Linked DNA regions of Astyanax mexicanus. The protein of the gene in region 2 interacts with the protein of the main gene of each other region in a pairwise test. Links are inferred from orthologs where the notes say so. Each region holds a gene or a part of one and is shown on either strand. Other genes may lie near its edges. The genes, in order: pdlim5b and coil.

What was found.
Region 1: the proteins of coil (region 2) and pdlim5b interact in binary tests that used the Homo sapiens proteins (3 or more experiments, as listed by UniProt). The two-hybrid records come from large-scale screens. The link is inferred for Astyanax mexicanus from reciprocal best matches to the Homo sapiens genes COIL and PDLIM5.

Annotation. Positions count from the first base shown.
Region 1 is NC_064427.1:4,298,359-4,315,278, forward strand, and holds the start of pdlim5b (PDZ and LIM domain protein 5b), read right to left. Parts: upstream 9,047-16,920; 5' UTR 8,945-9,046; intron 1-8,944. UniProt on the Homo sapiens protein: May play an important role in the heart development by scaffolding PKC to the Z-disk region. May play a role in the regulation of cardiomyocyte expansion. Isoforms lacking the LIM domains may negatively modulate the scaffolding activity of isoform 1.
Region 2 is NC_064426.1:14,148,304-14,164,284, forward strand, and holds the start of coil (coilin), read right to left. Parts: upstream 6,107-15,981; 5' UTR 6,048-6,106; coding exon 5,803-6,047; intron 3,904-5,802; coding exon 2,892-3,903; intron 2,212-2,891; coding exon 2,122-2,211; intron 1,185-2,121; coding exon 1,137-1,184; intron 886-1,136; coding exon 816-885; intron 346-815; coding exon 257-345; intron 1-256. Other genes in the region: scpep1 (retinoid-inducible serine carboxypeptidase), read left to right, coding at 7,131-7,194, 7,931-8,064, 8,282-8,371, 8,973-9,128, 9,214-9,288, 9,809-9,881, 10,028-10,065, 10,771-10,899 and 5 more. UniProt on the Homo sapiens protein: Component of nuclear coiled bodies, also known as Cajal bodies or CBs, which are involved in the modification and assembly of nucleoplasmic snRNPs.

The DNA.
Region 1 (16,920 bases), on a different chromosome or scaffold from region 2:
TTAAACAGAGGGGAATGCACTCATCCCAGTATTTTAAGAGCCGTGGAAGAGCAAAGCAACTGTTGTTAAGGTGGAACCCCCTGGAAATCCAGCAGAGTTCAAACATAAACATTCCAGAGAGGAGGATTAGAGGCTGGGGGTCTCAGAGACAAATATTCCACAGTGATTATACAGATTTTAGAAGTAGCATCACTCTTCTCTTTCACTGATCAGTGGCATGCGAGTACACATTGTCTTGAGCTTTGGGTATTATATGGAGGTTCTCTGACAAAGCTTAAACCTAAGCTCAAGCTAAGGAAGCGGAGGGAGCTACATTATTTAAAAAATGGGTTTAACCCATTCAGATACCCACCAGATACTAATATGTTATGTTGTGATAATAATAGCCCAACAGTAGCTCTTTAGGTCTCCCCTTATTGGAAGCTGTTTAATATACAAGACGTTCTTCAGATAGTCATGGTTATTTTGATTTTAAAAGGAAAATTCCAACACCTAATTCCTACACAAGAATTAAGCCTTATCTTACACTTTATGTTCCTTTGACTGGAAAACCTCCATACAACGTGATGTGTAGTCTAAGTTGCTAGTCTCAGTTTGGTCTACAACGAAAAAGCAGGTTTAAAAGTTGCCGTGAACCAAGATCTAGGCCAAAGGACCACAATTTGGTCCAACTAATAGAGGTGGTCTTTGTTTTTTTGGATGGTTTTGACTTTTTGACAATTAGAGGACGTTGAGACAGGCTATTATCTTCTATAAACTAAACTATACTAAACTTGGTTAAACCAAAACCAACCAGATACAAAACTAAAAGCTCTACAACTCTAGAACAGCCATCTAGATAATGTTCAGGATGAATAAATCTCAATCATCTCAATCTTAAGTCCCCTTTATATGAGGCTACAGATCAAGGAATTCGTGAACATAGCAAATTGTGGTAAACTGTGATGCTGGTGCTGTTGTCTCATTGCTTACATACAACTCCCGTGTTTTTAGGGTTCCATGTGTCTATGTTACCTTCTGGCTCTCTCTTTTTAGCTAGGCTGTTACAGTCAGATCTGCGAGAATCATCAGCCACACTCTGATAATGCTCTGTACTCCATAAATCCAATCTTAGTTTATCTTTAATATTAGTTTATGACTATATTGGTGCCTCCAAAAGTATCTTTTTCTAGCATTGAGAGATTTGTCTTTGCCATTGTTGAGTTTGGTTTGCTGATGTATAAAAACACACTAAATAATAATTGGCAAAGTCATAATGTGCAATGCTCTAAAAGCTATTTCACAGTATGTTTTTGCCCAACAGTTAATACACTGACATTCTTTAGATCCCTTAAATCCTATAAACACCTACATAAAGGAATCTGAACATTTCTGGCCAAGTTTAGACCAAAGCACTCAAAAAAAGATCTCAATGAGAGATAAATGCTGGAACTCCCCTTTAATGAAAGGAAAAGTTACTACAACAATTACTATAATAGAGGTCAGATGTCTGCAAGATAAGAGAGCTCACAGCATGTGGGCCCAAGCCTCAGCCGGATTAGGTAATCCAATGGAGCTCATGTCAAACAAGAATCACACACAGACTACATTACATTAATCCATTTAATCTGAATAGCCATAACATTAACACCAACTGCTTGTTTAGTTCTACACTCATGTCTATTTTATCAGCTGTTCTGAGCATACAGGAGGTTTTGTAGACTTTGTAGTTCTATAATTACGGGCTGTAGTCATTTCTGTTTCTCTACATACTTGTCATACATGTCATGACCCCACAGAACCACCACAGAGCAGCTATTAGTATTATTATTATTATTATTATTATTATTATTTGGGTGGTGGGTCATTATTATTCTCAGCACTGCAGTGATTAGCACTGATTAGCATGGTGCTGCATGGTGATATAGGAGGTGTTGATGTGTGTTGTGCTGGAATGAGTGGATCAGACACAGCAGTGTTGCTTGAGTTTTTAAACATTTCAGCTTAGCTACTGTCTCTGATTTTACTTCATCTACAAAGTGGAGCAGCTGTAGGTAGGAGTGTGTAATAGAGTGAATTGTAAAAAAAAAATCCTTTTTTATACAATTGTTCATTTCTGTTCACTATTTTGGAGTTCTGCCTTGCATTTACAACATCCTGCCAGCCAGTGTCTCTTACCTTACTCTAGCACAGTCTAACATGTGCTCTGCCAGAGCTAAGTCACACAATAAGCACATGGGAACTATTTCACATTTGTAAAGTAAACTATGGGCATGTTCAGAATTCAGAATTCTCAACTTAATTGTTGTTTATCAGTAACTTTACTTAGCCAGCAGACTTTGTTTGAGGGAGGGATCTGTAGCAACTGTACGTGGCAAGTCAGCAGATGTCGAGAGAGAGACACTCAGCTGTTACACTAAGAATAAATGACCCACCACCCAAATAATAATAATAATAATAATAATAGCTGCTCTGTGGTGATCTTGTGAAGTCCTGACACCGTATGCAGAGAAACTGAGAACATATTTTACAACATACGTTTTTTTTTCCCACCTCATTTTGTTATGTTTTGTTTATCTTTCTTTTCAGTGTGTCATGAGATCATGCCTTGACCTTGTGGTTTATGAGAAACCTCTAGTTCCTCATACAGAGGTTTCTTTTGTCACAGCTCTTCCTGCTAGGGTGGGGTAACACACTGAACTGGCCTTGTTTTGAGAACATGCCCGGCACCGTAAAGAGAGCGAAATGAATGAAACAGTTTTCCCGTTCCTGCAGCCACATGCCCGCGGGCCGGCAGCGGAAACAAAAGCTCTCGGCAACTGGCTAATTACCTAACCTGGGTTCCCTCTGTTGATCTAATCTAGATTAGGGCTGTTGCTGCTCCGCTGGCTGGTTGTTGGGAGTGGAAATATCGAGACACGATAAGCGCGGAGCTCTGACGAGCCTCCGGGAACACTCCCATGCGTGAAGCCACATGGAATTAGAGTGGAGGGAGGCTAAGTGGCTTAACATAGTCCTACAATTGAGGCTAAGGCATTTGCTGAAACATGACCCGAGGTATTATCTTGGGAATGCGGCTTTTGGTTAAATCACTTAAAAGACAAGGGAGAAGCAGTAAAAATTGAAACAGAGGAGACAAGCGGAGGAAAACAAGCAAGATAAGAGCTTTCTATCTCTGTGTGAGCAAAGAACAGGAAGGGCTAAAGAGCATTCATCAGTGTCTTGCCCTACAATGGAGGTATGGATAGTGATTTTCCAGATGGAAATCAGCTTTAGCTTCAGATTAAAGTGTAATAGACTTATTCTGCGGCTGGAAAACCCAGGAGAGTCTCCTGAGCTGCTATTATTATTCCATACAGATCCTTCTCTTTTCAGAAAGGTGGGGTGAAAACGGTGCAGCCTAAAATAGGCCTAGACGACTTTATATGTCTGTCACCATGGACATAAACAAAAAAAATGGATCTGGATCTGCATCCACGTGAAAGCTGGCATGTACATTCTTCTGTCAACTACAATCGGCTTCTCCTGAGCTGAGAGTAGACGTGGTGCCAAAGGCACACCCTGGAAAGCTCAATAGCGCTGAGGTCTGTAGGGAAAATCTGCTGGTTGAGCTCAGCTCATAACTTACACGGCCTAAAGGGAGTACCGGCCACATTTGCTCAGGCGGAGGAATGAATGGGTAATGGCAATAATAGCCATCCCACCCCCGAGCTCCAGTCTATAGACAAAGCCAAGAATACAAATGTGCCGAAAATAGCCGAAGACGAAGACAACTGGTGCGCGGGTTCACGAAAGTCACGAAAGTTTTTTTTGCGCTGGAAATACTCCACTCCAGCTGAAAGGGATGCAAACTGCAGCCAGTTAAATCATCACAAATGAGGAGCGGGGTGAGCTACCAGAAATGCACGCATCTGTTTATGAATCATGTGTTCCGATGAAAGGAGGAGGTGGCCGCTTTAACTGTGCTGAACGTTCAGCTCCATGTGTGATCACTGCACTGTTTAATGTTTACCAGCTCCGGGCTGCGCACATGACCACACATGACCTACGCACAGCCGAACTATTGTGTCGACCGCAAAACATATTGAGATACAGCCTTCAAACAAGGCCTGATAAGCCATGTAGGGATATAAGTCTACAGCGAGACACCTTCAAAACATCTGCGCTGATTAAAGAAAAAGTTTAAACAGACGGATGTGATCAGAATCGTGTTCCTGGAAACTAATAGCATTTTCCACTGATATTACACTATATAGCCAACAGGACCGCTCACTGGAGCACACTGCTTAATCATTGAGTTCTGGTGTTTTGTTCAGTCCTTCTGCCAGAGGTGTTTCCAAGGTACGTTCCATTTACCCCGTAAGTTGGACGTTGGAGCTGGGAATGATATGATAAGTTATATAAACAGTAAAACATTCAGATAATTGTACAAACTACACTGTAAGCCCGGATTTTATTTCTAATTAAAAATGTATATTCAATGTACATAAATTATTAAGTTTTAGTCCATTACTGTCAAATGTAAGTATATTGTACTCATTTCAGCACGTATTTAAACGTGTTAATAGTTTTTAGTTTAATAAACTAAACATTTTAAGTTTTTGAACTGATTGACTTAACTTTTTAAGTTATTTGACAGAAAAAAACTTTTTTATGCATTTAAACCCGCCCTTTTCCCAGCTTGCTGTTGGTGAGGCGGCGGGCGAAGCTTTGCGTCCTCCATGCCTCTGCAGTCTAAACTGCAAGGCGGGAAAATGTGGGCAGCAGCGGACCAGTCACAGCTGCCGCTGTCCGTGTAGCTGAGCCTGCGAGTCTGCCCGCCGGCTCCGCAAGCTCCGCGAGCTTCTCCGGCGGGCAGGCTCGCAGGCTCAGCGACACGGACAGCGGCAGCTGTGACTGGTCCGCTGAGCTGCCCACATTTTCCCGCCTTGCAGTTTAGACTGCAGAGGCACGGAGGACGCAAAGCTTCGGCTGAGCTCGCGGAGCCGGCGGGCGGAGCTTGCGGAGCCGATGGGAGAAGCTCGCGGAGCAGGCGGGCGAAGCTCGCGGAGCCGGCGGGAGAAGCTCGCGGAGACGGCGGGCAGGCTCGCAGGCTCAGCGACACGGAGAGCGGCAGCTGTGACTGGTCCACTGAGCTGCCCACATTTTCCCGCCTTGCAGTTTAGACTGCAGAGGCACGGAGGACGCAAAGCTTCGCCCGCCGCCTCACCAACAGCAAGCTGGGAAAAGGGCAGGTTTAAATGCAAAAAAAAAAGTTTTTTTTCTGCCATCTCCCATCGACTCCGCGAGCTCTGCGAGCTTCGCCCGTCGGCTTCGCAAGCTCCGCGAGCCCGTCGGCTCCGCGAGCTTCTCCCGCCAGCTCCGCGAGCTTCTCCCGCCAGCTCCGCGAGCTTCTCCCGCCAGCTCCGCGAGCTCCATCCGCCGGCTCCGCAAGCTTCTCCCGCTGGCTCCGCGAGCTTCTCACGCCAGCTCCGCGAGCTTCTCCCGCCAGCTCCGCGAGCTCCATCCGCCGGCTCCGCAAGCTTCTCCCGCCGGCTCCGCGAGCTTCTCCCGCCAGCTCCGCGAGCTTCTCACGCCAGCTCCGCGAGCTTCTCCCGCCAGCTCCGCGAGCTACGCCCGTCGGACCCGCGAGTTTTTCTCTGTTTTTTCCATGAATATTTATAAAAATATTTAAGTAACGTTTAATAAAAAATAAAAGTAAGAAGAAATCAAAATTTTTGCTTACTTGTAACTCAAGATACTAAGTAGAATTGTAGGGCAAATGAATTGGTGTAACAAAAACAAAAGAGTTAAATCAACTTACCATTTAGTTGTATTAACTTGATGTTTTAAGTTATGTTAACTTAAGTTTTCATTGCCCATTACTTAACTTTTTTAAGGCAACCGGTTTCCTCAAATTTTTTAAGTAAACTCAACTTATCCGGGCTTACAGTGTAAAGGATTTGGAGTTTACCACAACTGGTTTGACCATTTTTTATGGCAAATCCAACCAAAATATGAACAATTTTTTAATTTTCTAGGTTGTTCCATCATTGTAAGCACTCTCCCAGGCTCCCAGAGGTATTAGATATTCCAGTTTATAACACATTTTGCAGTATTTTGCACATTTAAACACAATGGAAACGTGTCCAAAGATGGACAGGCTAAAGGCCAAACACATTTATTTTTGCCCCATTTCTCTATTATCTTTAGGTTGCAGAAAGTTTGGAGCATCCCTAGTGCTGTGTGTGTGATTGACCTATTGCAACAAAGTCAGCTGGTGAAATTTCTTTCCTCCACCTAGATATTCTCAGAAAGAGCGTCCAACCATGTAAAGTTACAGAGGGGACCAACTCCACACTAATGTGATTTTAAATAGTGTAATGTACTGGTCTCCCAATACTTTTGTACATACAGAGTAGACTTAGGCTATGTTCGCAAATCTGATTTTTTGATCAAAGTGGATCAGATCTGATTTTTTCATGGCTGTGTGAACATGTCAAATCAAGTTTTTTTTTTAAATCAGATTTAAGTCACTTTCCTATGTGGTCCTAAATCGGATACGTATCCGATCAATGGACATGCGACAAGAATGTGAACGGTCAAATGAATTCATGAATTCATGCGTCTTTTTGCTCTTACGCATTAGCATTAGTGCTACGTGCTTCTCTCCCCTACCCACACTGCATCTCTTGGTGCAGCTGTGCAGCTATAGCTGCAAAAACAGCAAAAGCAAACCACCTAGCCTTTTTTCCCCTCTTTTCTGCTCCACATATGAACTGCTAACGCATCCATTTCACCTTTATAAAGCTACGAGTCTCTCGTCTCTCAAATATGACATTTTTTGTTGTTGGTGAAGAAGGTGACGTTTATACAGAGACAGATTCGTTCACATTACACACAGATACAGATCACTTACATTTGTGAATGTGAACCGTTAAGATCACATTCTGAGCAAAAAATCTGATTTGAGCAACGTGGCTTGTAATGTGAACATAGCCTTATTCTCAATATGCAGTTTGTACAGCAGAAGGTTTAGACTGACTCATCTTGGCCAAAAGCTCTTCATCAAGTCACCACTTGGTGCTGATATAAAGGCTCTTTATGTCAAGACATCTGGAGCCTCACCTGCCCACCTGCCTCTGAGCACCTACACACCTGCTTTAATGGGTTTACCACATCAAGGGTGGCGGAACCTTGGAGCAACACCTGGTTTACGCTCAGGAATTACTCTGTCTGCAAATACCAGCTCTCTGAATATCCTCCCTTCATTGCCTTCACATGCCATGATCTCACCACCAGCCTGTAAAAAAACTGCATTACTAATCTGAGGGGCTGAGGGGCTACTTAAATAGCAGTTGTAGCTGAACCCCTGCCAGGCCAGCTCTCCATTAGCCATCAAAATTGCACAGATTACCTGTAATTAGATTATTACGCTTAACTATGTTTTTCTTTCTTCAGGACTTATTCAACGTACGACGCTAAACCTGTAACTGGCAACCAACTGGCTAACAAAGCTTCGCCACAAAAAGCGTCCACAGATCATTCCTGACATTCCTAAACCTTCCCAAAACTGGAGAGATATTTTAATCTGTGTTACAGTGTTCAATTAAGCAGAAAAAGAGCACAGAGTAGCCTAGCTAAATTTTGTAACTAAAGTACTGTGTGGCTTATTACAGGACTGTATGTAAGTGGAACACTATTAGAACTATTAGAATAGCAGCAAAAGACTGTTAGAAGATATACGGCTCATCTTTGGAACTAACATAAGAGCAGTTCAGTCACCAACACAACAGAATAAGATCAGATATAAAATAAAATAGAAAGTAGATGGATGTTCAAAGGACCTGAAATAAACTGACAGCAGCTGAACATACATGCTAGTCATAGAAGCTCACAACGTGCATATATACAAATGTTTGACTTATTGCCTACAATAAGACATATAATCTTGAAGTTCTTTATAAGAATACAGAATAAAGACGACACTTTTCTAGGAACTGTGATTTTGCATCCAAAAAACATGTTTTTTTTTTCACCTAGTTTAGACATGGCACCTCAAAATAATGACGTTTCTCCCTAATATGACTTAGCATCTAAAAATAATTACTTATATTACTTATTTTTTTATCTGTATCATTACATCTTATACTTTTTTGTAACATCTGTGCACTATGTATATCTGCTACTTGATGTCCAGAATTTCCCTCTGGGATCAATAAAGTATCTAACCATCTATCATCAACAGCTCTGGAAAGAATGAAGAGACCACTTCAGTTTCTGAATCAGTTTCTCTGATTTTGCTATTTATAGGTTTATGTTTGAGTAAAATGAACATTGTTGTTTTATTCTCTAAACTACAGACAACAGTTTCCCAAATTCCAAATACAAATATTGTCCTTTCATGAATCAATATTTGGTGAATTAACCCCGGTTTTTAATCACAGTTAACATGTTCTCCTCCACCGGTCTTACACACTGCTTTTGGATAACTTTATGCCACTCCTGGTGCAAAAATTCAAGCAACACAGCGTTTCTGTAACTGATATAAATACTGTAACAATCTGTTTGACACTGTGTAACGGTAGTCAGTCACCTCACTTCCCCACAGACTTGACACACCCTCCACCTCTGTGTGTGTGTGTGTACTTCCTGAAGCACAAACGTGTTGTAACTCTTCTCTCTCACTCTGAGTAACAGACACTCACTGTTAAACGCTGTTGGCTGCTTTCACTTTAAACCGGTTTCACTCTTTAAACCGAATCAAGCTCGTGCTTTTATAACGCTGCTGTCAGAATTCTACTACAGCTTGTTTCAGGCTGTTTAAACGACTTATTCTTACACTTAAGACCTCTTACTTAACGTAAACGTTTTAAACTTATTCTAAACCCGCTTTAAGTCAGTCTAAGATCGCTTTAAACCGGTTTAAACCCGGCTTTTTTAAGCCTCTCAGAGCCGCTGAACTCTCCCCCCAGCACTCACTCACCTTCACTCCGGACTCTCTCCGCCGCTCGCTCGAACACAACTGACTGAAACTTCCACACTTCGCTCGTGCGCTCCTGCAGCCAGGCGACCGTCCGAATCTCGCTTCTGATTGGATGTTTCTAAGGGGGCGGGAGGGTGACTTCACCACAATCGATTTGATTGGACGCTGAGGAGAGCAAAGCGGCGTTTAATTGGTCGTCTGAGTTTAGGGCTGCTGCCCACTCACCTGTTGCTTGCCGTTATTTTCAGAGATGAATCAAGTGAGAAAGTTAGGTGAATCCCACACTGATCACAAAAAAAAAATCAGATTTTTTTTCTGATTTAGTTATTTATAGGTTTATGTTTGAGTAAAATGATTATTGTTGTTTTATTCTATAAACTACATAGATAACATTTCTCCCAAATTCCAACCAAAAGAACATTGTCATTTAGAGCATTTCTTTGAAGAAAATGAGAAATGGCTAAAATAACAAAATGCAAGATGCAGAGTTTTGAGACCTCAAATAATGCAAAGAAAACAAACTCATATTCATAAAGTTTTAGAAGTTCTGAAATCAACATTTAGTGCAATAACACTGTTTTTATTCACACTTTTTAAGCATCTTGGCATGTTCACCTCCACCAGTCTTACACACTGCTTTTGGGTAATTCTATGCTGCTTTACTCCTGATGTAAAAATTCAAGCAGTTCAGCTTGTTTTGTTGGCTTTTGATCATCCACATTCCTCTTGATTAGATTCCATTCCATATCCTCTTGATATGTTTCTAATTTGGTAAAATCAAAGAAATTCATCATTTTTAAGTGGTCTTTATTTTTTTTTACAGAGCTGTATGTGGGAAAGGTGTTTTGAGAAACTATTTGAGGGAAGAAAAAAATATGTTGGTCATGATGTCAAAAGACCTCAGATGACAAACATTCTATGCATGGATGCTGATAGAAAAGCACATTGACAAATACTAATAAATAAAATACTAAATAAAACAAAATAAAGGACCTAAACATATAATAAAGCGTCATCAAATCTCTGTGAAATATTATATACATGGCAAAAAATATATCAAATTCTAGTTTTAGCCCAGAATTATCCTTTAATTGTGAAAGTGATTAATCATGAGCATTGAACATTAAAAATGGAGCAGGACTAGAAGTTCAGAGCTTAAAGAAACAGACCACTGGGGCTGAGAGAATGCCAACACAAAGAAAAGAGAGCAAAAAAAGAAAGAAAGCAAAAGAGAAAGAAAGATTTAGAGGAAAACTTTTCAATGTTTTTCACAGGAGCAAAGAATTCCTGGGTCTTAGTCAAGGAGGTGACAGACTTCAGCGCAGATTCTCAGAAGCACAGAGATTCTAAATCCAACCGATGAGGGAACGTTATGATAACCTTAGCAGTAAAGCAGTAAATAAAAAAATCCATCAATTACTAAGAATGTGAAGAAGATTAATGATGTAGAGAATCCAGAAACAGGCTGATAGAACAAATCTGGGGTGCGTTTCCCAAAACGTTCTTAACGCTAAGTACTTCGTAACTTCGTACTTACGAACAATCTTAAAATTACGAGCGTTTCCCGAAAGCCTTCGTAACTAACGTAGTACTTAAACTCGTTCGTAACTTTACGAGTGGTCTGACCCACTCGTAAATAACTAAGTTCTTCTTAACGTGGAATCCACGTGCAGTTCTGACTCAAAAACGAAAGAGGCCGCTTTTGATCCTTAAAAAAATGCATTTAAAGATGCATTCAGCATACGTATTTATAAAAAAATAAACAATAAAAAAAAGACTAAATTCCAGACTATTTAAATTAATTTATTAACCTGCGCATATTTATTCATAGTATTTGGGTTTATTATATGGTTGAAATAATCGTATTCACGTGAAGAAAAAGTTACAATTACCTACAAATATAATTTTTATTCACACATATCACACACATATGGATTAAATTAACGGTTTTCCCCAGTCTGACAGTCGTAGTAGTAAACAAATAAGTAAATATATTTTATTTGGCTTTTTATATCATACAAAATTATACCTTTGTGGCTTAATAATGAAGAACTGTATATAAATCGGTGGTCTAGTTTTCATCTGGCTTTGCCTTAAACCTCACAGACACGGGGGCGGAGCCACCAAAGTGCTACTTAAAGGTCCTTCGTAAGTATGGAGACTTAAGAGTGGCTTCTGGAAACAGTCGGAAAAATGGCGTTCTTAAAGTTAAGTCGTTCTTAAAGTTGTTCTTAAATCCCTAAGAACAATCGCTATCGGGAAACGCACCCCTGATCATTAAGTGTGCTTTTTACATGTAATATTGTCGTATTGTGTCATAACACAAAAGATAAGCAAATCAGAAGTGACTATAGTCTGTGACTACTCACTATAACAGCCTAACTATAAGAAGAGTGCCAGAAGGTAACATAGACACCAGCACTTTCTGAAACACTGGAATACTTTAAAGTTTCATATATTTTATTTAGTGAATTATTACAGATTATTTTTTTTAACTCTGTTTTATACTCTGCTTCAGTATTTGGTCAAGAACAAATGTACCAGATTTAGGCTAATCAACAGCTTTTTATTAAAGGCCATTTATGTGGTTATTTTTAATAACAGTTGGTCTACACTCAAAGATGAGTGTAGTCATAGATGTCAAACCTGTCCACACTGGGCTGGTGTGGCTGCAGGTTTAATTCCAGCCAAGCACAAGCACATGTCATCAGTTGTTTGAAGACTGACCAACTGATTAAGCAAGTGGAATCAGGTGAGCTGCCCAATAGATCAAGTTTGACTCCCCTGTTCTAAGCATAAAGGGTTATACCCTTCATATAGCTCTATATAGTACTGAAAAAAAAAAAACATTATTTGACTTGAAATGATAACAGCCTAACTGAAAGTAATTGCCAGAAGCTAACATAGGCACAATTACAACCTAAAACTCTGGCATGCTTCAGAGTTTAATGTTGAAGATGATGTCCAATCATCAGCAGGCCTTTTGAGGCCTTTTTCAGTCATGGTAGGCCTACACTCTAAGCCAATGGGTGTCAGCCCTGTCTACAATTGGCTGGTGTGGCTGCAGGCTTTAATTCCAGCCAAACACAAGCACATTTCATCATTAGTTTGAAGGCTAACCAACTGATTAAACAAGTGGAATCAGGTGAGCTGGCTTTATTTATAATAAAATCCTGCAGCCACACCGGCCCAGTGAGACCAAGTTTGACTCCCCTGTTTATATATAGCCCTATATAGTATTGAAAAATATATATTTGACTGAAGTGCAAGAAGGTAACATAGACACAAACACAACCTAAAAGACTAACATACCTCAGAGTTTAATGTTGAAGTCTCTGAGCATTTGATCTAATGCACCAGATGATGTCTAATCAACAGCAGGTCTTTTAAGGCTGTTTAAACTTTTTTTTTATTTCAATCACGGTAGGCCTACACTCTGAGCCAAGGGTGTCAAACCTGTCAATAACTGGCTGGTGTGGCTGAAGGTTTTCATTCCAGCCAAATACAAACACATTTCTTCAGTTGTCTGAAGACTGACCAACTGATTAAACAAGTGGAATCAGGTGAGCTGCTCAAAGATTAAACCAACCCAGTGTACTTTATATACTTTATCTATTTAGTACTAAAAAAGGTTTATTTGACTTCAAATGATATTAAAACCCATTTGTTTCCTAATAAAACTATTTACAAAAAGATTTTGCAGCTACCTGAAGAAGCTTTTTACCAGACAGTGAACCACTAAAGCAGCCAAATTATTCTCTTAACTGTTTTTACTCTTTATATCACCATTGCCTTTACTACTAATAAAACCTTGATAAGCTTTTTTAAGCACAGTTTAAGACTGCACTATTAATACAAGTCTCCTCAATTGTAACATAGGTTTTTCTCCATAGTGCAGTGAATTTTAGAAATTCTGAATTTAAGACATTCTAAGCTTAGTAAACTCAGATGTTAAAGAGTAATTGCCCTGAATAATAATACAAAATTATATATACATAAAATAAAAAAGAAAATGCAACTTTTGTAGAAAATGTAGGAAAAAACTCAAAAGTTTGGGATGTAATCAAAATGTGCACAATCTCTGGAGTGAATTATATAAGTAAATATATATTTTTAAATATACTTTCTTGTAAATTTCAATGATGCATTTTTTTGACAAAGTAAGTTAATTTGGAATATCAATTTTAAAAGATAATTAAACAAAGAACATTTTTTTGAGAAATGTATTATTTTAACTTCTTTTAAACCAAAATGCTCAGTTAAAATACTCAACATGTCCAAATCTCAAGAAAACAAGTCAAAATGTTTAGAAATCAAAACAGAATATTACATTATTAAGACAATAATTGGAATTTTGAGAGAAGTTTTTGTTTTAAGATACCAGGTTAAAATGTTTAAATACTATGTCAAATATTTGATGAAGTTAAATTGTTGACATAACATGTCATAATTTGATACATTTTAATCAAAATGTTTTGATTTTTATATGTTAAGTAAACAGTGAGAAAGTAATTATTTTAACTTATTTTAAGTCATTCATTGTTATAAGTTGAAATTTTGAGATTATTTTGTCGTTTTTAACTGAAAAGTTGCAAAGATATCATGACTGAATTTCACGCAACCAAGTCAAGATTTCAAAACATAGATACTTATAATTAACAGGTAAAATAAACCAGAAAAAAAGAAAGTGCTTTATTTCCTTGTCTACCTGCAGGTATGAGGAAAAAACAGATGTTGAGAGGTATGTGGTCAGAAGCTTCACTGGCTTTGAACAATACAATCAAACAATAGCCTTTATCATGACTTTAAAAGGGAAAGACCTGCAGTGCATCTAAACAATGAGAACTATTCCCAACCTAATGAGTGCATGCAGTAAGTATGCAGGTTGGCCGATACCAGGCTTTAGTGATAGCAGGCTGGCTGGTTCAGTTTTTAAATGGTGATGTAATTCTTTCCCCTCGGTGTTTAAGAGAGAGTGGAAGTGCCTGCCAGGCTCAGCTGATGGTAATAATGGGGACTTTGCTTCACCAAACAGGAACATGTGTTAACTATCCACATGTGTTTTATATTTTACATTTAAAAAGGTTTTTACAGCTGAATTTGTGCTCCTTTTTTGGGTAATTCTGAGAGCAGACAGTCATGTCCACAGGCTGTTTCAGCTCCTCTCAGAGGAGGATGTTGTAGCACAGTCCTGTGGCGCCATCCACTGCTCAAATATGGACTTCTCAATCTCAGAACTGCTTGTAAACACTGGCTGCAAACGTTTGAATATATCTTTTCTATCTTATTCAGTGTGTTTTATTTCGTTTTGTCAGCGAGGCGGACGTAAGTGCAGGTAAGAGGACATTTATTATTAAAAAATAAAAAATAAATAAACAAGCAAGGGAATAAAGAAACAAACCAAAACAAACAAGAGACTAGGAGAAACAAACGGGTATAGGGTAACTGAGAAATCAAACGAGAAACATAAAGATGACTGCATGAACTAAACAGAACAAGGAAAATAAATAAGGAATAAACAAGGAAAATAAACTAAGATAAACAAGAAACAAGCAGGGAAAATAAACAGTGTGAACCAGGGAACGCAAACACAGATATGATCCCGAAAAACAACAAAGGAAGGATGCAAAAACTGACAAGGAAAAGCAGGAACACAGGGGTATAAACACACAAGAAGGGAAACAGAAATGGGAGACACCTGGAGAAAGTAACGAGGGGGCGGAGCTACAAATTAGACAGAGGAGGGTACACCTGAATGGAAAACTACAGGGGAGCACACTGGGAGACGAGAAACACAAGGAAAACAAGTAAATTTAATATTAAAGACTGTATTAAAGCTACACAGCAACACGTAGAATATGAAGTAAATATAAAGAGTTAAACAAAGCAGAATATATTTTACACTTTAGATTTTTCTAAATAATTAGCTTAATTTCTCTTACAGGACAGATCTGCACACTTTTGGTATTTTAATCTCAGTGTCTTCATGAGGGAGAGTCACCTGGAATAGTTTTCTCAGCGTCTTAAAGGAAGGAGTTCCTGGAGGTGTCTCTCTTCCTTCTTTCTTTAGTTTATTGTTTGTTTGTTTTATTTTCTTGTACTATTCTAATAAATACTCACAATCTGCATCGCTCCCTACCTGACAGAACATTTCAAATAATTAATAAATAGTGGTGGCAAAAGTATTATTTTAGTGCATTAGAACAAATAGAAGAACATGTAATCAATATTTGACAATTAGTAATTAAATAATTGTAATAAATATTCAATCTACTTTAAAAAAACTTATTGATTGACTGACTGATTGGCAGTTGGGTAAGTGATAAATCATGCTAATTAGATATTTCTCAGAACTAGCTTGTATATTTGGTCAATTGGAATACATAACAATGAGCGTGTATCCAGCAGAGCATTGCTGCAACACCAGCGTCTCAGTCAGTCGAGAAAGTCAATTGACGAGCATAACACGTACATCCATTTGGGTTTAATACATCGATTGTGCTTCTCTTCTGTGCAGCCAAGCGTGCAGCTATACGTCAGCCGGGACCCTCAGACAGAGAGGCCCTCACATCAAACACAGCTTTAACAGAGTGATGAGAGCAGAGAAGGAGTACAAAGTGAACAGAGTCTGACATTTAATCAATATAATCATGTTCATCTGTGATACACGTTTATTGAACAACAGAGAATAGGCTGAAACCATGAGACAACATGGTTATAATAATAAATTATTAAAAAGCCATCCCCAACTCTCATAACTCATAACTTTACCCCTAGGATGGTGTGCATCTTCATATCATATCATTGGTCACCTACACACTCTGGATCAGAACTGTCTCTATAAAGCTCATACAACACAACGATATACACATTTAAAACCATTATAAACATCAATTCATAAAACAACACATTCTTGCATAAAGTTAAATAAATATATATTTATATATATTTATAAGATATTGTAGTGCATAACATAGCATGTGTAATGCTCCCTGATACATTTAGCCTTCATAGTCAGAAATGAAGAGGAAAAATTAAGAAAACAGGTTTGGACAGGTTCAGATGCTTCACCTATTGAAGGCATCACAGGTGGCTCTCCTTGGTTAACAGCTTTTAAATATTATAAATATCAAAACATATATGGTTTTCACCCTGTTGATCTTTAACGATGTTGATCAGCCAAGACATGTTTGAAGTTTTGCTAGAATGCATGAAGTAATATTAAAATCACACCTCTTTTTAAATGGCCTCAGTACAGAAGAATAAAATTAGTAAAGAATATTTAAATATTTAATTTTACCTTTGTAAATAATGGCTTGTGGTACAAAACAAGTTTCAGTAAAGACTTTACTGCAGACTAAATCATGCTAATGAACTAACATTATTTTGCATTATTATTTGCAGTCATAAAGAATACACATAGATTTCAAATGAACTACAAAAAAGGGGATTTATTCATTTATTTATTTAGTTTGTTAATTATTTTAATATTCTATAACCTGAACTACTCTTGGCTTGGCCCTCTTTTCAATTTTGATCTTGACTCTGATGATGTTCACTATAAAAAAAAATCTCTCTACATTGCATTTGTATAAAAAAATGAGTTAAATAAGAAGTTTAAGGGTATTTTTATATTTACAGAAGGTAGAAAATATGCTGAAAATTATAATTTGTACATTAAATAACTTGGAAAATGCTAATTCGTTGCATTTTGTGAAATAAATCCCAATGTCTTACACATAAATATGTAAAAAAAAGGGATTAAAACATGCATAATTTCTTAAAAAATATATAAATTATAATTGCTGATTCGAATCCCGTTTATGTAGCTCGTCATCAGCTGCTGGAGCCCTGAGAGAGCACAACTGGTTTTGTTCTCTCTGGGTGGGTATAGTAGGTGGCGCTCTTTCCACTCATCACTCCGAAGGGTGATGTGGATCAGCACAAGGCTGCGTCTGTGAGCTGATGTATCAGAA
Region 2 (15,981 bases):
AAGCCTTAGCATGGTGTCAGTCGCAATTTTGCCAAACCCCAATGTCTTGTTTGAAATGTCCACTTCAAATAGTGAGACTATTTTGTGTGCGTGTAAGGTGTTGAAAATTGGGACACGTCCTGCATCCACATTCAGTGATTTTCCTGCTTACAGCACTACTGATCAACTAACCAGCTTATTAATAAGTCCTGTCAGAGTAACAGACGTTTAAATGGGGTAGAGCAAAGGTGTGTGAAATAAAGTTTGTGTGTGTTACCTGAGAGCCGAGTGTGACGGCATATTCCACGCTCTCTGAACCGTCTGGATTCTGATAAACCAAATCAAACTTCCCTGGCTCTGCACGTGCTGTAAAAACAGAGTAACACTGCTTTACAATGCAAAATAAATGAAAATTAAATTGTCTTTATTACATCTACTCCTTTCTCAAGGCCTGGTTACAATAATTGATGCCAATGCTTTATATTTCTTAATACAACTCTGAATAAGTCAGATATTTGCGTTCACTACAGCTGATGGGTTGTAAACATTGCTCACTTTAGCCAAATAAAAAAATAATTATTAATATGAAGCTGCTGCTCTAAAACAAAAGAACAAAAAGTAAAATATATTGTATATTATAATCTTTTACTGAATAAACTAAATACTACTTCTGAACAGTAGCTGGCCTCATTATGAGACTGTATTTTGGGAAGATGACAAAACGGATCAGGCTGAACATTTTTGTGATTACACATGTCCTGTTGTGTAATCAGGGCTTGTGAAATAAATGATAGAGCAGTGATTCACAGTTAGTAAACAGGTTTTGCAGGACTCACCTTGAGTCTGAGTGAGAATCTCTAGTTCAATCATGCCAGTAGTGTGATTAAAACCAACTATCTTCCCCTCCTGCAACAAGCAGATAAACATAATCAAGCATCTATAACAGCTGATGCCACTCTAACAGGGGCTGCTATTGTACAGTAAATAAATATAATGAGTTAGGGGTTATCAGTTAAAGTACACTGTCTTCCTCTTGAAAATAAATTAAGAAATATTTATTTGACGCTAAATATCCAAATATAAATGTACAGAGTATGATAACCAACATTTTTATACCATAATACATGATAAATACATATATTTAAGCACACACTTACCTTATAATCAGAAACTTCTGGGGTGTAGTTTTCCGTTAGCTCTAAAAGCTGTTAGAGGGAGGAGTGAAGATTTAGTAGAAGAACACATTCACAGATAAGAGACACGTTATCCTTCTGGACAACTAAACAGCTGATGTGTCACACTGTCAGTTTTAGGGCGAAATTGAGACTAAACCCGCTTTAACTTCTTTCCAGCAAAATACAGTGTTTATTTACTGTTACAGTCTAAACGCAGCTCGGAGGTAAACTGCTGTTTATGCATATGCATTTATTGATCATTTTCCAACTAAGCTGAAAACACAAATTAGCTTTCTAAACAAAGCAGTATGGGTCACCTAGTAATACTACAGTAAGGGTGAGCACAGCAGATATGGTTCACAAAACATCAAGACGTTCTAGAGTATTTCACTCTGCTTTTTAAAAAAAAAAAAAAGAAAAAAAAAAGAATGATGTGACCACTGGGGGTGGGCCATATGGCCCTGAAATAATATCACAATATTTCATGGTACGATATGACAAAACACTAAAATTATTTCAAGAATACACTACTGCAACAAAATGAAAATTAAATTTTGTTATTGCATACAAAATGATGACACACCCCTAACTGAGATAAAAAAAAATACAAGAATTTTATCAGATTTGTAACAGAAGTCAGTGATCCAGAATGTGATAGTAAGAACGCACACAGTGAACACTGAGAGAACAGTGTGTAGTTTTCTTTTGCTAAAAACAGTATATTTAAAAAAAAAAGATTATTAGGGGTGGGTGATATGGCACAATATTTCAGGGTATAATAATGTTCATGTTATTAAAAAAAATGTGGCGATATTATTGCACACGATATGATATGGCACACCTCTAGTGACCACAACAGTCAGAGACTCACTGGTTAAAGGCAAAAAGTTTGTATAATTCGATATAATAACACTGCAAAACCATAACAATTCCAATCATCAGCACTGATGTTCCCTCTCTATCTTACCTTAAAAGCAATCTTCTGCCCCGCTGCAGGAGGAGCCGCAAGGAGGGGCAGGGTACTGTAGTCCCGACTGGGCTTCGGCTCCGGAGGATTCTGAAACACAGAAATACAGACACAGGAGTTATGAAAAGTCATTTTAATAAACTTACACTAGACACTGCCATTATCTATCTATTTATATATGCTTTCAAAGATGCTGCTATACATTAGGATTATAGATGAATAGTCTAAATGCTGTTTACAATGTCACAAATCCATCAGAATACATTTTGAGAGTTTGAGAGTTCACAAGTAAACTTACCTTAACCACTATTATACCAATTAATAAACTGAGTTGTTGTTTCATTTAGTATAAAATAACCTTTAATAGTGAATCTGTGCTTAAGAACTGGAATGACGAAAATGCTCATTTTAAGAATCTAAACTAGTTCTAAACTACTTGTAGATTTGTAATAGTGATAATGTACACAATAACATGTACTCAGATGATCATATCCAGGTTTGGTCTCTAAAAGATCAGTTATTACAGTCATTTAACATAACTGATAGCCAATATAACCCAGATTCAGTCATATTAAACAGCCTAGGGGATGCTAACGAACACTGGACTAAATATTTAAGCATAATAACAGATTCCATGTGAACACGGCTTAAGCACAATATTTATTACTAGTGTTGGCCTAGCACTAACTAGCTCAAAAATAACTACAGTCTGGGGTCTGTGATCAATCATGCCCAAACTAGTTTATCATCTCAACTTAAGCAGTTCCTACCTCCAGAATCAGGCTCCTGTTGCTCTGGGAATCATCCTGCGTCTGCTGCTCCCCACTGTCATAGTTGTAGTGAAAGTTCTGTTTCCATGGCGTTCCTCTGGCCCTACCAAAGCCACCCCTGACCCCTGCACGACCTCTGACCCTACCACCCCCTCGAGGGGTCATTCCCAGGACCTGTGGGTTGGGGGTCTTGATCACGAGCTCCGTTTCACTGCTGCTGTCAGAATCTGAACTTTCTGGCTTCTTTTCATTCTTTTTGGCCACTGGAGTGGATAGAGCAGGTGGGGGTCCGTTCTGAACTGCAGAAGGAGGAGGAGGAGGTGGTATCTTCCTCGCTGGGGGTGATGGGGATGATGATGAGGGTGAGGAATCTGAGGAAGACTGTGTGGAGGGCTTTTTGACTGATGGTTTAGAGTTGGCATTAGAGGTGGGCTTTAGTGGAATGGGAGATGGTTTGACAGCAAGGTTGGGTTTGTTTGGCTGGGGAGGTGCAGCAGAATCATCCTCAGAAGAGGAACATTCTGAAGAGGAGGTTTCTTTAGCCTTAGCTGTGACAGCCTGCTTGAGTAGGGTTTGGGGTTTAGATTTAGGTGTGTGTTTTTTAGAAGATTCCACACTGCTGTCTGAAGAGTCGGAGTCTTTCTGTTTTCTACTGTTTTTTGATGTTCTGGGAGTCACTGTGGAACCTGGAGTCTTTCTGCTGTTCGCTCCTGACTGGTCCTTGGAGGACAGAGGTTCTTTAACTGGTTTTAAAGCAGCTTCAGCTTCAGTCTGTGGCTCTACCCTCTTGTTCTTCTTTCTTTTCTTCTTTTTGTTCTTCTTTTTAGTTTCCTCATGATGACTGAAACCATTTACAGGAGTTACCTCCTTTTTGCTCTTCTTTGATACAGCAACAGCACAGTCCTCCACTAGTTGCTCCTCATCCTCTTCTTTTCTACTCCTCTTCTTTCCCGAGATCACTTGCTCCACTGGCTCAGATGCACTTGAATATGAGAGGCTAGAAACCTTCACCCTGACAAACAAATAAAGAAAGACATAAAGAAGCAGATAATAAGCAGTGATTACCATGGTATTTCAAGTGCCTGCAATGGTGCTGCTGAGCAGTTTCTACAGTATGGTTCCCCAGGTGGCTGCTAGCTAGATCACTGTTATAATACTACAAGGTCTCAGGGGTTTTCCCAAATGTTGCTGTGGTACTTATACCATCACGTGGATGATACACTGACTGTACGGCACCCTGACACTGGGATACAATGTGCTTTAAATGATCCAAAATTTTCCTGTACAAAAAAACTCATCTAGTTTGCCTACTGCTGAGAAGATCTTACATCAGTCATGATGAAGTGTTTTTAAAACCTGCTCAGAGACTTGGATCTTCAACTGGATCTTCTCTTGATGAACAGACCAGCAGACAAGTGGTGCAGGTACACAAACATACCTCATACACCCTCACCCTCTGCCCGCTGGGTTGTGCCTCATAACGCTATTCCTCTAAGGTCCAGGAGAAAATCACATATTGTTGCAACCTTAAATGCATTCTGATATTCATAGACCAAGGCAAGAAAGACTGTAAAGAACATTAGCCATGCAAGCAATGGACTCTTTCCCAGTTCCTACGGTCTATAAATGTAGTTTACAATGTTGCTGTCCAATGAAAAGCAAATTTCGCCAAAACAACAACTTTATAAGGGAGAGATAAAACCTTAACTTTCAATAGAAAAAATGTATTTCAGCTAATTTTGGAGAATTTCTATTGGTCCATTCGTTAAGAAGTGTTAATACATTGGAAGGAACAGTTTGGGTGTTCAAATCACCAAAAATGGAGGTACTTGTTTTTCATTAGACAGGAAAGATATATAAATCCATTCAAATTTTTAGTTATTATCTTTGTACAAATTTATCTTTGTTTTATCTGATTTGCGACCAGACCCTTCACTGCTAGTTGGGCCTTGTAGGATAATGTACAGTACCACTGAAAAGTTCACTTCTCATTTATTTTTTTTCTTTCTTTTTACAATTTCTTACATTACAAGGAACACATGGGGAATTTGTTATAAATAAAGTGTTAAACCATACCAAATAATCTGTTTTATAATTTAGATACAGATTAGAGGACAGATCTGCACACTCTTGGTATTTGAATCTCAGTGTCTTCATGAGGGAAAGTCAACTGGAATAGTTTTCTCAGCATCTTGAAGGAGTTTCTGGAGATGCTAAACAATAGTTTCTGCTTTTCCTTTATGCTGTGAAGCTCCAGCTCATCCCAAATCACCATCTCAGTTGATTAGGTTTAGGTCAGGGGATTGTGGAGGTCTGTGGAAGTTTACTACGTAAACTTTTGTCTATATATCCCTTAATTGTGTTCATGTGTTTAATATTAAACTACAATGTAAAAAAAAAATCAAATAAGTAAATAACGAATAACACAATGAGGTGTGTTCGAACTTTTGACTGGTATTGAATATGACAAACGTTGCTTTTTGATTTGACGGCTGAATGTATAATGTGTGTATTTAAATGTGTATATGTGACAACTGAAAATAAATGTACTTTTTCGTTTCCATATATTGATTGAGAGTTTTTACTTATGTTATAAGAAAAGGTTTAAAGTTTAATTATGAAATAAAGACCCTTTAAAACAAGAACTAAAAGAACAAACAAAATGAACGGAAGTGTAAGATTGTCTGTAATTTGTGTTTGAAACTAGTACTGCGTTTTATGTTATATGCAGTTATGAAGGGTTTTTGGATTCATGGTTAATGTGTTTTATGCTCTGACACGTTTAAATGAATATTTATTAAGTGAAAGTGTAGTCTGAGTGAGGCTGAGCGGTAGTAGTTGTAGTAATGGATTATTTATCCAGGTGTTTACAGTGTGTTCAGTACTGGAGCACGTGCTGCTGCTGCTGTACCTGATGCTGTCGTTGTCGCGGATCAGGTAGATGCTCTCTGTGGGCGGGAGGTAGCTCTCCTCTATGAACAGGTCCAGCTCGGCCCTGCGGCTGTAGCCGAACCGCTCCCGGATCTCACTGCACAGATCCGCGATCACCCTGCAGCGGTTCAGGTCCAGCAGGATCCAGCTCATGCGGCACTGCGGCCCGGAGGGAGGCGGGTAGTCAAACCGGAGCCGCAGCCTCACCGCGCTGCTGCCCGCCATGCCTGCCGGAGGAGAGGAGCGGAGCCCGGGCAGCTAAATCACCACACCGCCCCCCTACCGGCCCGGAGGAGAACCGCGGCTGCAGAGAGAGCACCAGCACACAGGTAACACTTATATACAGTCTGTGGTCCAGTTGACCAGATTCACACAGATAATATAGAATGGAATCATTAAACTGAAAAAAGGGAAAATAAAGCTACATTTCCTTTTATGAGTGACTTTTACAATCAATGATTAATAAAAACGAGACCCACCGAGATAGTTTAACATTTTGGCGACCTCTAGCAGTAAATCTGATACTTTCTGTGAAAAGGGTAATTACCTTTAGATTTACTAAAGTTGAAAGTATTTATATCTAAATAACATTTAATTGAATTTATTATAGATGTATAACATATAAAACATTTACCATTTTAGTCACGATGTTCAACACATTTTAGAATTAGCTCTAAATTCAGGTCATTTTTTGAACTTAGTCTATCAGTCTATTTTATTAATATTCTATCATTTTAACAACACTCTATTTTCTCAGTCCCTTTCATTAATATATAATAGTTTTTTTATTTACTTTTATGATTTAAAACATAAAAAGAATGCAGCATTACATAAAGAGATATTACTAAAATTAAAGTACTTATACAGCCACTAGCTCTGAGTTTTGAGTTTTGAGTTTTAAAAAGAAATATTTTTTAGTTTTCTATGGTTCGTTTGGTATTTTTTACATTTATTAACCAAAACAGGACATTCCCAGAACGTTATAAGACGGTTTTCTTGTCACCGTAACAGTGGGTGAACGTTTAGTTTGTGCTTCAAAAGAAAAGTCCTATTTTATATAAAATAAACTCTGTAAAACATTTAGACGGAAATTAAAGCTAGTATATGGTGAATATAATAAACATTTATACTGTGATTTTTATTTTTTCAAATATATTCACCAAATAAAAACTGTTCCCAGCAGTTCTTCCTTTAATTTTTTTTGTATTATTGTTTCTGTCAGCTGACCGGTCATATGATGTAGTTTCAGCCGCGGTGTGGAGCTCAGTGTTCGGTGTGTGTTCAGGTCCACAGTCGGAGGCTGGCAGGATGGCACCGGGCAGGACGGGCTCATGGGCGGCGGTGCTGCTGTTCGCTGTTAGTGTGTGTAGAGGTGGGTAAATGTGAAAGTCTTAGTGTTTTAAAAGCGCTGTTCGCGCTGATTTGGAGACCTGCGGTAATGTTTTAGACGCAGTGCGTGTTTAAATCCGCACCCGTCAGTCTCATGTATGTTTGAACTACTTTATAAACATGTTTTATGTATTAAAACAGAGTTATATAGCTGTTAATTTCAGATATAAAGTGGAATTCATTAGTGAAAGTGAAAGGAAAAAACGAGAACTGATTTTGGGTTGTTTTCGAACTTTCCGTTCCACCTTAAAAATGGCTCGGACGACTGAGTGTAATTGCTGCGCCATTTAAGGTAGAACGGGTCTTTGGTAAAAATGTGTGAGTTTAAGCCCTTTAGTGCTCTATTTAAACCCGTTTTCATTCATGAGTGTAGAATAACTGTAAATTGCTGTAAACAGAGACGGTTGAAAATAAAAAAATGAGTCCATTATTTTAGAGTACTGCGGCAAATAAATATATATAAAAAAGTTAAAAAGTTATCTAAACGTCCCCAGATACAGGTTTTATCAGTTGTTCAACTGTTATTAACGCTCTCTTTTTGCATTGTTTTGGGCTACAGCCCCAAAGTGACTAAAACTCTTTAGAAGCTTAATGTTAAATGTTATTTAAATATGTGTAACATTTATAAACGGTACCAGGATACTTTAATATCCACAGGCTCAAAGTGAATTAAATGGTAAAATGTATTTTCCTTTCTAATTTTCTTGTGTTTTGGACAGGCTGGTCACTCCCGGTTCAGGAAAAGGAGGTCTGGGGTTATGTGGACGTTCGTGAAGGAGCACACATGTTCTGGTGGCTTTACTATGCTAACAGCCCCAGCTTTAAGGACCTGCCTCTGGTCATGTGGCTTCAGGTGAGAACATCATAAAAGTGACTCACCAGCTGATCTCCATGTGAACTCCCTTCAATAAACTCTTCTATTTAAATCAGGTTTGGGAAATGGAATTTACCATTGAGAGGGCCCTCAATGGGTCTTGCTTCCCCTATAACATAGCGATTGTGTGTAACACTGATCTGTCCTGCACTACATATGCACTCAGTGTGGTTTGTGTTTGTTTTTGGTATTTTAGGGAGGACCTGGTGGATCCAGTTGTGGATTCGGAAACTTTGGAGAGATCGGACCTCTGGACACAGACCTTAAGCCAAGGAAAACCTCCTGGGTAAATACATTACAATACTATTAATAATGTCATAATAAAGGAATACAGTAATATTTCTGTATAACTGTACTAATCATTCTGCAACAGCTGCTACTGATGATGATGATATTTATAAGATAATTCAACTTTTTTAAACCATATTCGTAAAAAAACAAAAAGATAAAAAAAGGACTTATATGCCAGTTAGTCCTCCTGCTAAAGATCACTATCGCTACCATCTCAGTTAAACTCAGTTAAATTCAATTTTGTTAGCCAATATTTATTTGAAAGGCAATCAAGTTTCATGCCAAACCAAGTTTCATGCCAAAAGGTGCTGCGATAAACAACAAAAATCTATTTCTCAGCAGCCACTTTGTGCCAATTAATAAGTGACATATTGTAGACATCTCAGTAATTGACTAATTTAAAACATGTTTATAATTATCAAGAATTACCAGTTATTTAACTCAGTTACAATAACTCAACAATGGTAAGTAGTTTATAAAATGATGATTGGATGATGATTGTTAATTCTGGCTATATTTGCTATTGTTAGTGTTATTATTGGTAGTAGTGGCAGTAGTAGTTGTAGTTCTGATGTTTATAAGTCTGTGTTTTGTAGGTGAATGCTGCCAGTGTCCTGTTTGTGGATAATCCTGTGGGTACAGGGTACAGTTACACAGACTCTGAGAAAGCCCTGGCGACGGATGTGTCCATGGTGGCAGCAGACATGATGGTTCTCCTGCAGAGCTTCTTCAGCCAGCGCACTGAATTTCAGGTACCTCATTCACACACAAACTGCTCCCCCTGTGGGTCCTGCTATCAGAGTGTAAAAATAAAGCAGCTGTGTTTTCCTCCCACAGACAGTTCCTTTCTACATTTTCTCTGAATCTTACGGAGGAAAAATGGCCTCGGCTATTTCACTGGAGCTCACGAAGGTAAACAAATACATTTATGATTTCTGATCTCACTCATGTGACAGGGCAGATCAATATAAGGGGAATTCAAACAAGGAACTTTGTTTTTTTTCTAATTGCCAAGCATTTTAGACAGTAGTGTAGACAGTGATGTTAAATATAAAATCATTTGTTGTTGAATGTTAATATGATTACTTTAATAAAATGTGTGAAAAGTGCTCAGATTACACACTGACATTCAGTCATGCACTCAGCTGATGTTTATTAATAGGAGCAGTGTGTTTCTAGTCATTGTCCACTTCCTCAAAGGCTTCTGCAAATAGGCATACAGCTCAGTGTGTGTGGAATGGTGTTTGAGTGTGTGTAATGGCCATTTATCGTCTGAAATGTTTCTGTATTCTAGCTTATTTGTTGGACAGGGACAATATACATAAACACAAATGCATCAAATTGCAGTTATTAGACCTTTTATAAGGCAAATAAGTTAATTACTGTGTAACACAACAGCATATATCCTGTATTTCCTATTTTGTTTCCTCAGGCTGTTCAGAAAGGTTCCATTAAGTGTAATTTTGCTGGAGTGGCGCTGGGAGACTCCTGGATTTCTCCTTTAGGTTTGTATTATAATCAAACATATATAACAAAAGTGTAAAATGTGAGGCGATTTTTTTTGTTGGGTATATTTCTTAATCATGTCTAGTGGATGTCTGTGTATTTTTTGTTTGCTAATTAAATCTGAACATCTCATCCCCCACTGTAGACTCTGTCCTGACCTGGGGGCCGTATCTGTACAGCACTGTGAGTACTTCTCAGCCGTAATGAGTGTATATTATATGTTTGGTATATTGGTGGGTGCTTATTAAGTTTTACATTGAAACAACAAAGCTAATGTATGCTATTTGTTAAAATGCATCCCATTGAAATGAATGCATTCACTTACTTAAATTTCACTCATTATTGGCACACATGTGCAAATGCACACACTGTCCTTCTAATTCCTGTAGAAAAGTACTGTCAATAAAATAGAAACCTCTAGAGCAGACAAAAACATGAATCTACTGGCAGCATGCCTAATACAAGGAGTGGGCTAGAGGGATATAAATCCCCCAGCATGGAGCAGACTGGATCTGTGTTCTATTGAAATTAAGTCAGGGAGTTAAAAGTAATCAGATCAACATAGAAACAGAGTAAACAATGAATGAGAATGAATGGTTTCTGACACTGCATGAATTATTATGATTTAAAACATGGACTGAAATACAGAAAATGCTCAGTTTATGTACAGGAGATATATATATATATACAGGAGCATAACCCTGTCTGTATGTGTGATTTAGATTCAAACCGTGTTGGTTTGATTAGGACTATAGCAGCAGTTAAAACTAAAGAAGTACTGAACTAGTGTGGAACTCTTAATTTATGTCATTTTTTTTCAACTTTATTTTTACATCTTGCTGTAAATTGTTACCAGTATGTTATAACTTATTTGTGTTTGATCTCCAGTCTCTGCTGGATGATTATGGTCTAAAGGAGGTGACCCAAGCAGCGAAAGATGTTCAGCAGGCAGTGCAGCAGGGTCAGTATCAGAAAGCCACTCAGCTGTGGTCAGTTACAGAAAACGTGGTGGAACAGGTCAGTACTTTTGTACTTTGTACTTTAATATACACAAGATTATAAAATATCTATAAAATATACATAGCATAATAACTGGTAACACTTTACAATTAACGGTACTTATGATAGATTGTTTCAAATAATTATGAATTCACTAGTTAAGACTAGTTTAGACATTATTAATCATAAAAATAAAAATAACAAATGGCTCAAGTCATTATTTTTATTATTAATAACAGGGTTCACAATATTTATTATTGTTTAATCAAGTCTCAACTAATGTCCATTAATAATTAGTTTCAATATTACTTAACCATTTATCAATGTTTTATGATGGCCCACAACTGAACAGGCCTGATTTTATGAAAACTTATGTTAATGTTTTTAAAGAGACAGCAGACTCACTTATTCTGTTGCAGAACACAAACGGAGTGAATTTCTACAACATCCTCACGCAACAAGATGATGATGACCTGGTGAAGTTCAGTGCTGATGACCAAGACTATCTGAGTAAGACACTAAAGAATGATTCACACACGAGCTGGTGTATTTTATCCTGTATTGATGTTGAGAAAATGACAAAACAAATGTCTCTGTCTCTCCCAGTTGCTCTGAAACGCCGCCATATTAAGCCTCTTCATGGCCAGTCACTCTCAGAGCTGATGAATGGACCAATCAGGAAAAAGCTAGGTGTCATCCCGAAGAACGTCACATGGGGAGGTGAACCAGTTTATCAAGCATTTCACTGTAAACATCCTGGCCACTTTATAAAAAAAACTTGGAGCTTTTTATCGATTAATTCGAATTTACAGTTAAGGTCGATGTGTTTTTATGAAAATCGATTTACTCTGAGTTTTAATTTTTACCGCTGACGCTCCCCTGAGCTCAGCCCCCCCCCCCCCCCCTTTGAAAATAAAGAAAACTAAAGAAAGCTAAAAAAAAAAAAAAAAGTTATTAAAATTACAGCTTCAAAAACATGTATTGTGCAAATTAGGCGATAATATCATTTAGAGACTTCTAGCGTCTTTTAGGAGATTTTAGTAGGGGGAAAAATTAAAAATTTTAAAAGTTTTAAATCGAAAATTGGATTTCTTAAAAATAATGGAAGATTTTTTTTTGGGCCATATCGCCCAGCTCTACAGAAACCCCTTTCTGGCTGTTACAAGGTAGGGGTTTCTAGTAAAGTGGCCAGTGAGTTTAGACTGTCTGTTATCTATACAGGTATTCTTTGTACAGTCCATTTCTATTGAGAACTGTGTGTGTGTGCATGTTTCAGGTCAGGCTGAAGACGTGTTTTCCAGCATGTCTGGAGACTTTATGAAGCCTGTGGTGGACATTGTGGATGAGCTTTTGTCTGCTGGGGTCAATGTGACTGTCTATAATGGCCAGCTGGACCTGATTGTGGACACGATGGGTAAGAGACACCTGGTCAAAAATAGTTTTTGACGATGTAGGACAATTTAGAAGCGATACTGTTTTGTTTGGAATGTAATATTATTATTGTATGTGCTGGTTCACAGGTCAGGAGCTGTGGGTGAAGAAGCTGAAATGGGAAGGACTCCAGAAGTTCAATCAGATGAAGTGGACGGCTCTGGAAGACCCAGAGTCTGCAGGACAGACGGGAGCTTTTTACAAGACCTACAAAAACTTTGCCTTCTACTGGATCCTGAAGGCTGGACACATGGTAAACTGCTGCTCTTAAACTAAACTGACCAATCAAGTTATATTATTATTATTATTATTATTATTATTATTATTATTATTAAAGACAGAATTCAACACATTTTTCTTTTACCCCACATTTTGTGAATCAGACCAGATGTATAACGTTTAAAAGGGTTAACTAACAGGCCAAGTTACATAGAAACATTCTTTGATATCACCTTCTTACAATTCTTGCATCAATATTGTTATCCATTTGAAGAGTTTCTGCTTGAAATTCGTTGAATGTCTTAAAAGCCTGCCAGAGCTGCTGTTCTGATGTAAACTGCCTCCACCCTCATAGATCTTTTGCTTGATGATAATCAAAAGATTCTCTATAGGGTTAAGGTCTGGGGAAGATGGTGGCCACACCATACGTTTCTCTCCTTTTATACCCATAGCAGCCAATGATACAGAGGTATTCTCTGCAGCATGAGATGGTACATTGTCCTGCATGAGTGTGATTTTGCTCCAGAAGACATGGTTCTTCTTTTTATACCATGGAAGAAAGTGATCAGTCAGAAACTGTATAAACTTTGCTGAGGTCATTTTCACACCTTCAGGGACCCTAAAGGGGACTACCAGCTCTCTCACCATGATTTCAGCTTAAAACACGACCAAAACATTCCAGCCCAAAACAACGTCGCAGCCCTGTTGGGACATGGTGGCCATCCACCAACCATCCACTACTCCATCCATCTGTACCATCCACGGTTATACACTCATCAGTAAACAAGACTGTTTGGAAATGAGTCTTCATGTATGTTTGGGTCCACTGCAACTGTATCTGCTTGTGAGTTCTGGTTAGGTTATCTTTATGACACTTAAATCCAATTTGCATAATAAATTGGAACTCTGTGTAATTCTTAAACATTAAAAAACTGTAAAAGCTTAAAATGCTCCATCAACCAATTTTTATTGAAAAATGGCAGAATCAGACAACATCCATGCTGACCTTACCAATGCTCTCTTGAGGTTGAATGCAATCAAATTCTCCTCATAGCAATGTTTTATAATATAGTTTTAAGTTTTCCTCAGTATTTCTCTGAAAAGCTCTGGAGCAGGTGTCGGGTAAAGGGTACAGCAGCAAATATCAATATTTAATATGATTCTGATATCATTACTGTTACTGTTCATAATATGCCTCAATATGCTTCAGATCACCACAACCTGATGTTTTATAAGACCACTATTTAGTTGTCTGTTGTCTTTGTGTTTACTGTAGATCCCCTCTGATCAGGGTGAGATGGCTCTGAGGATGCTGAAGATGGTCACTTTGCAAGAGTGATGAAGACACCCTGTCAGATTTAAGACAATCAATGCAGATTCACCAAAATCAATGCTTTTTAGCTTATACTTTGACCTCACACACCTCACTCCACTCGGTCTGATGATGATGATGATTCTGTGGCTAATCAAACTGAATCACTTGATTTTCTTTTTTTAACTGAAATGTGCTCAATAAATTGTCTTTTTTTCTATACTATTTTGTCCGATTAATTAATTTCCAGGAACGGGATGAAGATGCTTTACATCATGTGGTGGAGGGTCTTTAAAACCCAGCAACAGTTTAAATAAAGTGGTTCTTCTATGGCATCAATTAGAGAACCACCTATGGAACCTTTAATTTTAAATGCATAAATATATTTTTTTATAATTTATTCTAAACATTGCGTATTTTTATGTTTTTTGCATTTTTCTGTGCATTTTATATAATAAACAAAGTATGGAGACATAATTCAGCGTCACACAGGGGTAAATGTTAGCTGGACCAATCAGCTGGAGCTTGCATCGTGTTAATGACAGGGTGAGATCCAAATCTAACCTGGAGCTTATAAGACAGACTTATAGGACAGATATTACAGCACTGACATCCTAGTGGGATGTGATTACCTGTATTTATTCATTTCAGTTTGGTTCAAAACACAATTACACAAACACTATTTTTTATTTCAGCACAGTTGTATTTCAGTGCATACTGTATATCAGGGGTATTCAGTCTTGTACACAAAAGGGCAGAAGTGGCTCCAGATTTTTTATTCCCTCTGTGCAGGAGGCCACCTGATCTATTGTTTGGAGAGACAAACTGATAATAAAAGTGTATTCATGAAAACAAAATCTTGTTTAAAATAAAAACCTACAGTCACTTCAACTTCATGCAGATAAATATTAGCACCTTTAGATCAATACATCATTGCATTTAACACTCCGAGTCACTCTTCACTGTCAAAACAAAACCTTCATCATTTCAAAACACCCACTGCTCTTTCTGATGTGAACAAATTTTAAATCAGTCAAAAAAAAAAATAATATAAATGATCTCTGAGCCCAGATTTATTTAATCATCTACAACATGTTGGGTATCTTACATGCATCTTACACCTCTCCAAAATCATCATCGGCCCATCTCTCAGAACTCCAAATGTTTTTTAGTTTGGTAAATGAATGTGGTTTAGAACACAGTGTGTTTTACTTTAGTCCAAAAACACAAATATGAACTTCACTACAAAGCTGATTGATGGAGAAACTGTAACCACTGTAATTCACAGTGTGTGGTATTCATGTGCTCCAGTCTGAAGGTGGAACACTAATACAATGTGAGATGGTATTACAATGATAATTTACAGTTTCAGTTTCCCCACTGAGGGTGGGTTTCCAATACAATACTTTTTAGAAACCCAAAAACGCTTTACAATTTACACATTTAATGTACAACCATTCATACTCAGCACTCATCCACACACCAATAGCGTACAGCATACTCTCAACCGGAAACAACCGTCCACCTGGTGGACTGCATCAGGCACTACAGAATTTACCCAGCACAGAGTGCCAATCCTTATCTGAGCACAGTCATACTTACATTTTCTCTCACACACACACACACACACACACACACACACACACACACACAGACACACACACACAGACACACACACACAGACACACACACACACACACACACACACACACACACACACACACACACACACACACACACACACACACACACGATCAATTTTGGGTCAGTTTAGAGTATCCAATTTACCAGATCAATTTAGAGTATTTAATTTACCTGAGCCCCCGGAGGAAACCCACACAGACATGGAACATGGAGAACATGGAAACTCCACTCAGATAGGGACTTGAACCCAAGACCCCAGTGCTGGGAGGCGAACATGCTAACCATTAACCACTTCATTCATTCTTCTTTCAATAGCGAATCTAATCTAATGCTGTCTTGTCCAGAACTAGGCTTATTCCCTGTCTGGAAAACTGGTCCTAAATGTTTTAAAATAAAATTATCATTCTGTAGAAAACAGGTTGCTGAATTTTGAAGTAAATGAATGAAGATTTTGAGGTTGCTGCAAGAGTTGGTGGTGTGGTCAATGCCCAGTG